Caenorhabditis elegans: one gene and its partner. The protein of the gene in region 2 purifies or fractionates together with the protein of the main gene of each other region. This does not show direct contact. Each region holds a gene or a part of one and is shown on either strand. Other genes may lie near its edges. The genes, in order: F58B4.5 and grl-7.

Evidence for each region.
Region 1: the proteins of grl-7 (region 2) and F58B4.5 fractionate together in Caenorhabditis elegans (co-fractionation; one large-scale study listed by BioGRID). This does not show direct contact.

What each region holds. Positions count from the first base shown.
Region 1 is NC_003283.11:10,931,127-10,935,029, reverse strand, and holds F58B4.5 (CHK kinase-like domain-containing protein), read right to left. Parts: upstream 2,338-3,903; 5' UTR 2,291-2,337; coding exon 2,150-2,290; intron 2,103-2,149; coding exon 1,833-2,102; intron 1,788-1,832; coding exon 1,299-1,787; intron 1,252-1,298; coding exon 982-1,251; intron 929-981; coding exon 827-928; 3' UTR 785-826; downstream 1-784. Other genes in the region: F17C11.12 (Major facilitator superfamily (MFS) profile domain-containing protein), read left to right, coding at 1-385, 526-609, 657-755; scvp-1 (Secreted nematode Clade V Protein gene family), read left to right, coding at 3,741-3,785, 3,840-3,903.
Region 2 is NC_003283.11:11,344,120-11,348,654, forward strand, and holds grl-7 (Ground-like domain-containing protein), read right to left. Parts: upstream 2,894-4,535; 5' UTR 2,893-2,893; coding exon 2,395-2,892; intron 2,347-2,394; coding exon 2,299-2,346; intron 2,107-2,298; coding exon 2,050-2,106; intron 1,685-2,049; coding exon 1,409-1,684; intron 1,097-1,408; coding exon 993-1,096; intron 913-992; coding exon 837-912; 3' UTR 712-836; downstream 1-711.

The DNA of each region.
Region 1 (3,903 bases), 410 kb from region 2:
CAATCTGGGAGCTGTCGCTGGTTCAATATACATGAACTCTATTCTCATTGGACTTCTACGTTACTCATTCAGCTTGTTCAGTGGACTCTTGGATTACAAATTTGAGAAATTTGACAGAAAAATGTGTCATGGAATTTGTAGCGTGGTTACTATTTCCATAATTGTTGCAATTATTGCATTTTGTTTAACCGATACAACTGCAACATTTTCTGTGCTGATCAGAATAGGAGTATTGTTATCGTGTGCTATGACTTCTCAAGCAATTATTGTTGCAAGTATTGCTTCAAATGAGTTGATGCCAACTGCAATTCGATCAATTTCATATTCAACTGCTCAGCTTTGCTCAAGATTTGGAATTGTTTTTGCTCCCCATGTGTTCCACTTGGTGATTTTTTTTAAATTTCAAACAACTGTAGAATAGATTTAAAATTAAGACCAGAATTCTGAAGAACAACACTAAGTCTGCCTGAAATCTTGAATAAAAATATGACCATCAAAAACTTAAAACCAACGCTTGATTTTCAGAACTTGTACACTGGTATTGACTTTCCAGTTTTGCCATACGCCATACTTTTAGCCATCGGATTGGCTGATTTCATATTTTTCAGAGTAAGTTGAGCGAATTTTCTCTAATTAAAATTTTTTTTTCGTTTCAGTTTTTGATTCCTGAAACAAAAAACAAGCCTCTTGAGGATTTTATTGTCAATAGAACAAAGACTATCGGGAACGATGAAGAGGAAGAAGATCGAGTTTAGATGCATATTATAATTGAAAAAAAAACAATACAAATAAAACTTTTATTAAAACAGTTTGTTTATTGCTGAACTTAGAATTCAAAATATTTTGGGAAGTTTTTAATATTGCTCTCGTGAGTTGTGATAACATCTTCAAGAAGTCCAATCATTTTGTCTAGTGCCACTTGTTTCATCTGAAATTTTTTCTTTCTCAATAAGTACGTAGAAGTAGAACATTTAAACATACAGAGTCTTTGTATTCTTCAGTTACATTTGAATGTTGGAGCATTGGTGCAATTCCAGGAAGAACCATTGTAGTCATTAGTGGGAAGTAAACTTGATAACTATCTTTAAGTTGTTGGAATGTATATGGAACATCCATTCCATCAAGTTCATTTACAAATGTATTGTAGTATTCTTCCAACAAGAAATCTGCCTTTTCTCTTCTATCTTTTGTTGATAAGCATGATGCAAACAATCGGCCAACGTCTTGTGCTGGAGTTGTGATTGAAACTGTCTGAAATTCAAAAATCTGGAAATAAGCTTCTAAAAATCTAAATTAACCTGGAAATCAATAATCGCTTTCAATGTAACTTTTTCTCCATCTCGAGTACACAAAAAGTTTGAGCTCCACAAATCAGAATGGGTGAGAACTGGTTTATAACCAAAGAATTGGCATGTATTTTTGAAATTTTTGATCATTTGCGGTTGGAAATAATAGTCTTTGTAGATTTTCAGCATTTCCTCAACTTTCTCCAAATACTCTTCTGGGAATGACGCTTTAAGCAGTACATTCATTCTTTCAATTGACTTCTCATCCATGAATTGTCCAAAAACAATATCCAAAAAGTCGGCTCCGCGAGCATATTTTGTCTCCTCTTCACTTAATTTCATACCAATCGCAGAAAATGCAGCAATTGCATGAATAACTGGAATCAGATCTTCAGCTGGAATACTTTCATGCATTCCAATATGATGAATATTTGGATAATATTCGGAAATCAAATAAGCCTTCAATTTATTCTCGTCGTCAAATGGCTTTGATGCGTAAACCTAAAGTTTTTCAGGTAAAAATTCAAGTAAAATCAATTTATTCACCTTCGTGAATGGAATCTTTGGATGCTTTTCTCTCATCAAAATCTTGTACGTGGCAACTTCTCTATTATGAAGCAATCTTGTAACTTCTCCCATTCCTTTCAGTTTTGCATCATCCCAAAACTCATCACCGGAAGAAAAATCCATAAGCTTGGTCATTTCAATGAATGGAAGTTGAGATGAAATCTTGACCACAAACTTTTCAGGCAGTTCCTCGTTTTCAGAAGCCCCTACCCACTTTGGTTCGACCAGAGCTATTTTGGACATGAATCCCTAAAATGTGAACGTCGAATATTATAAGTACAAAGTGAATCAAATACCTTCATATCACTGATATTTGTGGCAGTTTTGTCATCTCCAAAAGTGGCAGTTGTATCCAATGCCTTTTGCATTTCTTCCAGCACATCTTCCCAGGTAACATGAGTTCCAAGAAGTCCATCAGCAACAGTATACAACGACATTACAACTGCCTTTTCAAGAAAAAAGATGATGTAAATGCTGATTTAAAAGTTTTAACTGAAAACTACACTGTCTCTGTTGTTTTATAAGCACGTGCATGACCGCCTTATCGCGAGCATTTCATCGATAGGTTGATTGGGTACGCCTTATCTGTTGAGAAATGTTTGATTTTTTAAAAGCCATGCACAAACCATTTTCACAATTCAAACCGTGGTTTGGAACCGAAAAAAATCTGGAATTTTCGGAGAAAGTGCATCTTTAAAACATCCGGGTTGTTTGACTTCATGACGATCACAGCGAGAAAATCGATTTCCAAAACGAAAAAAAAAACCAAATTATGAGATTTCATATCAAAGAACATGCACAAATGCGTTGTCATGTTTATCTTAAATTTCAATTGAAACTTGCACTGATCACACTTCCACTTTGTGACTTATTTCCTACAGGGAATGCTTCAGAAATTAATATTCACCGATTATGAATATTTATCGAAAACTTTATGATTTGAATCGAGATAAAATTCTAAACGAAACAAGTATTTGAGTTTTGAAGTATGAAAAATGGATTTTTTTCAGGTTCTTTGCAGACTTGAACTTCTTCAGGCATTTAGTTTTCTGAAATCTTGAAAATGAAATGCAGATTATTAAACAACCTTGATTTAAAATCACCCCGACTAATAGTAAGATATATCTTGTGTTTTTCCTTTTTCATCTAAAGAACAGGTGATGTCTTTTTGTTTTCTTGGTTCAGTTCACATATCAAGACCGCCAACATCAGTGAGCTCTTGGAATTGGTGTTTGAGCTAACGTATTACAATCCCAATCAGGAACAAATTCTTTAAACGTCCTCAAACCATGTCGCGATTTTGTTAATTTTATATAAAATTGATTGACAAGAAACGAAGAAAAATATCTAACGAAAAAAATCGCCTGGAAGGAAGAAAGCTAAAATAATATAGGATTCAAAACTAATATATTAATAATTCAGTCCCAATCTTTCATTTTTTGTTCCAAATTAATTTAGTTTATGCAGATTCAGTATGGGATGGCAAAGTCAAAACGTTGATCTTTCTGACATCTTGGAAATTCTGTTAACACGTTTCAAATAAGTTTCAAAAAGTTGCCTGGAAGCAAAAGAAAAAATGCAAATGTATGTGGTTCAAAGTTAGCAAAATGTTTCTAAATAAATTTTTTAAAAATGAAATACCTTTGCAATGCTCCAAAAGCTCTTACTCAACATATCTTTTATAAACATTACCAGTTTGATGTATAGTCATGGCTTTCTTACGAGATGCTAATAATGGACTTTTATTGAAAATATATTGACTTCTCTACTCTAGCCAATATTTGCTCTGAAAGTGAAATCAAATTCATGAATCTGTCTATTCACATAAATCAATAGTAAACAGAACACGCTTCTATAAAAGCGAACAAAATTTCTGATAAATCAGAAATGATTACATCCTATATACTACTATTTGCTTCTGTAGTCTGCTTGGTGAGTGAATAGATGACGGTTTTCTCATTTTCTGTCTTGAAAAAATATTTTCAGGGCTTTTGTGCTTTGGACGACCAACTTTTGACGGAAGAAGGAAGTGGATTTGAGCCACCGCCGA
Region 2 (4,535 bases):
GACGTATAGACTTTGTAGGTTTACTTCAAATTGTATATTTTCCATTAGTATACCTCCTTGTTTCCCTGCCAAAACCCAAATCGAACATATGTCCATTTTCTGTCTTCTTTCGTCTAATCCGACTCCATCTAATCTAGCTTTTCTGCGGCAGTAAGCCATCCGTCGGTATAATGTTTCAAGCCACATGTCATATCTTTCAGATTTCCGCTTCTTCGAATGTCTACGTCCACGTCTCCACCTATCAGTTCAGGGATCTTTCAATTTCATATTATTACCCTCAAACATCTTCCTCTTCATAGTTATGTTGTGTAGCCTGAATTCCCTTTTTTCTCCAAGCGTTTTCAGATTCTCAATGATTTCGCAATTTGTACGGTGATGCTCTACGATTATTGGAGTTGTGACTCAAAAAAACATTTTAAACAAGAAAAAATTCAAAAATTCAAAAAAATACTCCGACCACCCAAATATCAATGCTTTCAAAGAAAATTTATCAGTTTTGGTTGATTTGATTTTCCTCTTATTTTATGCATTTTCACCTCATCCTCTTTTTCATGTATTTCCTGTTTTTCTATTTTAAGTATGCCGAAAATAAAATCAAAATAAAAAATTATGCAATGTGTACATACTTAGCCATTCAAGAAATTTTCATTAATCCCATAAATCTTTCTTTTAAATTGACTTATACCAATACGGAAGATGAAAAACCTGTTTATTAAGCGAATACTTTATTATTAGTCGAACCAGGAAATAATATAACAAAGAGGAGAAGAAAATGAAACAATTTCCTTTCTATATTGCACTTGGAACACTGTTTTTGAAATCTTTGATTTCTATATTTACAATTGACGGTAGGTGTAGCATGAGATATCCCCTTTGGTCTCTTGGCAGTAGAGCTCGGTGTTGGTCACATAGCTGCAACATTAAATGTTAACCTATTGAATGAATAGTTATGACCGGTCGTAAAATTACGCCACACCACCATCTATCCTCACCTAAAATCGCCATTTGCGCAAATCACATCAAATCGTCCACCGAATTGGGCCTCAGCTGCCAATTGGATCATTCTCTTTGAGCTGTTCAATTGGTCATCGATGTTCTGCAATACGAATGGCTTGAAGAAATTTATCAAATTCGCGAGTTTCAAATTTCTATTGGAAATCTCATGAAGGAATCATATTGATTCAGAATTTTACTTTAATCGTAAAATAGTAGAGTTCCTGCGAAAAATTTAAAAAATTGAATCATTATTTGTTTTGAGTAAGATGTTTTGGGATTGGAATTCGATTTAATATCCAGGAAATACTGCCTGATTGATATTGAAAACTTTTAAATGAAATTAATTTTTTATAATTGCTAATTTTGTCTTTCCTCATGGTGCATATTTTCAAAAAATAGAAAACAAACTTACATCGATAACAACCTTTCTCAAATCATCAGAGTTGCAGAGTGGGTCATCGGTAAGGTGAAGTTCACTGATATCAACTTCCTTTTCGTTGGTGTCTGCAACAATCTCTTCTCCAACTGGAAATTCTGTAGATGTCGAGGCAGCAGCGGCAGTGGTTGAGGAAGCAGCAGCTGGAGCTTTAACGGTCTTCATATGTGTAGTCTTTCCTTCGTCTTTCTTTTTGATTGGCTCTTCTTCTTCTTCAACGACTTCTGCGACCTTGGCGGCAGCGGCAGCGGCCTGAAATCAAAAGATTCCAGGAAACATTTTCACATTTTTCTGGATCGAGAATAAGAAGAAACCTTATTTTTAGTGGCACTGATAAATATTTGCAAGGGATATTTAGGAAGATAAAAGTGTTTTCCACAGCCAAAAAAAAAAAAATTATCAAATAAGAAAAGAGTTCCTACGTACTATGAAATATATTTATATTTTTTACGATAAATCAATTTTTTGTGCGTTATAGTGATTGATTGGGACTACTCTGATAATTTCCAAAATACGTATTTTTGCACAAATTGCCTACTTACAAAGAAATGAAACAAAATTTGGTGTTAGTAACAAGCCATGTAAAAGGTACTCAATGTTAATGAGACCCTCCGTACCTGGTTTCCAAGCTCGGAAGCGTGCTGAGCCGCTTCGATCACATTGGTGCCAGTGTTCTGAAAGTGAATGCATGCAAGAAAGTTGCGAAAAAAATAAAAAAGAAGGAATTGTCGATAAGACCATGGTGCGAGTGAATTTTAGCAGATGAAAGGCATGCAGGCTATACAAAACGCTTTAAGCTTAAAATCAGTATTAGTCATTCAATGGTAAAAGCTGAGAGAAAATGAAAGCAGAAGCAAGCATCATACCTGGTAGTTTGGCTCTTCACGGGCAAGGGAAGCTACTACTTCTTGTTCCTGCAAATTAAAAGTAAAGAATTAATATGTAATGCATTTTAATATTACCCCAGTGTAAGCAGCTTCTGATGGTGGTGGAGCCGATTCCTGAGCTGTAGCAACTTCCGCGACTTGGGCTGGAGCATCTTGGTAATTTCCTCCGGCTTGAACTTGAGCTGGAGCAACCTCAGCTGGTCCCGGAGCTGGTTGAACTGGAGCTTGATATCCTCCAGCTGGGACTTGAGCTTGTGGTTGATATCCTTGAACTGGTGCTGGACCAGCTTGGTATCCTCCTTGGGGTTGGTATGGAGCTGGGGCAGCTTGGAAGCCTTGTTGAGCTCCTCCGTATCCTCCCTGTTGTGGATATTGTGGAGCAGCAGCATATCCTCCTTGCTGTGGAGCACCAACGTATCCTTGAACGATGTTACCTCCAGAGCATGGAGCTGGAGCTGGATGTGGAGCGCAAGCTGGCGCCTGCTGACATCCACAACCTCCACCACCTCCTCCGAAGAAGAATGCTGATGTGGTTTGAGCAAGAAGGAGAGTGGAGACAAGTCGGAATAGCATTCTGGAAATAGAATCAACAGTGAATGAAAATGACGAAGGACCGAATGAAAAGAAGGTGGAGAGAAGAAGCATCAAAACCCAAATGCCAATTACTTTTACAACTATTGCTATGCGGAATCACGGTGAGGTAGATTTGAATCTGGGTCAGAAGCTGCCTAGAGAAGCTTAGATGCTTTACCCTGTAAACTAGTGAAACAAGAGAACCGATCGGTTAGCGCGGTGGGTAGAAAATGCTTTGGCGGGTTTGATTGATAGTGATAAGCTGCGAGCGTCCGGTTTTTTGGCTGGATTGTCAATAGGATTGAATACGAGAACATTGTCAGAAATTGTGTGGAAGTGGACATATCCAAATTGATGGGCGGTTATGCAATAGAAGTATGATTAATTTCTCATTATACTCATGATGAATGGCAACGAATAAGACAAGTTTGTTCAGCGGTCTTCATAATTTTCTAATAGCCCTATCGCCACGTCACACTGCCATTCAAAGTTTAATAAGAATAACCGAAATTGGAAATTTATGCAAAAGCAATAAGTGAAAGTTTCTGTAGGAAGATCAGATGGTCAATGGATGTAGACAAATTCCAATTCACACTATATTGCTAAATTAAGACACTAAATTGAAAAGGTTATATACTGTATTTTACATTGTATTATTCCATTAAATATCGATTAAACAAAACAAATCGTGAAAAATGGAAAAAAAAACCATCGTAGATTGAATCTCGTTTCAGGTGAATCTTGAAAGCTTTTATACGGTCGAACCACCATCAAAAATGTGTTATCAATTGTAGCCGCTGGCACACACCCCAAAACTTGCTAGCTTCTCTCTTCAACTATTCCATTGTTCTCGATTTTTTCGGAAAAAGAACCCGATGATGCTGTCGACGGCTTCACCTGCGCAATCCCGCTCTCTTATCTCGCTAACGTTGACGATGAATTAAGAGACGTATATATGCAATATTCGCCAATATTCGGGATTTGTTTTTGATCAAGATAATCTGATTTTACCGTCTCTTTTAGAATGATAGTGGATGGCAACAACGGGTTCTTGTATTGGCATTATAACATGGAAACTGAAAAATGCTGTTCTTTATTGACAAAATGATAACATGAATCACTTTTAAATCAGTTTTTTGAGGTTTCAGACACAGTAATAAAATAAGAAACTGGAAGTTTAGATTTTTGCTAGAAGAATAGTGTAGATCACAACTAATGATTAATTTCATTTCTTTGTACGAATGATCATTGCAACGTGAATGCTCTATCAGATGAACAAGATTGAACTCGGAAATCTAAAAATATTTCGTTTTTCTTCTTGAAATTATTTAAATTAAAAAGTTAAGTATTTACATATATGATAGTTATTTGCACTAAAAACTAAACAGTGTGGCAATTTAAAGTAACATATTATTTTTGGTACCCACCTAGTCTGCCTAGCTTGGGTCGAGGCAAAATAGCAAAAAAAGTAGCAGCACAATCCACGTGCTAAATTAAAAAATCAAACATTATAATTTAGATTTTCCAAAAAATTGACTCTTGCAAAAACCAAACTACATGCATATCAATGCTCTAAATTTCTACAAAATTGAAGTGATTTACTTTAGTTTTTTTGAGTTCAGAAAATCAGTTCTTGTCAAAAC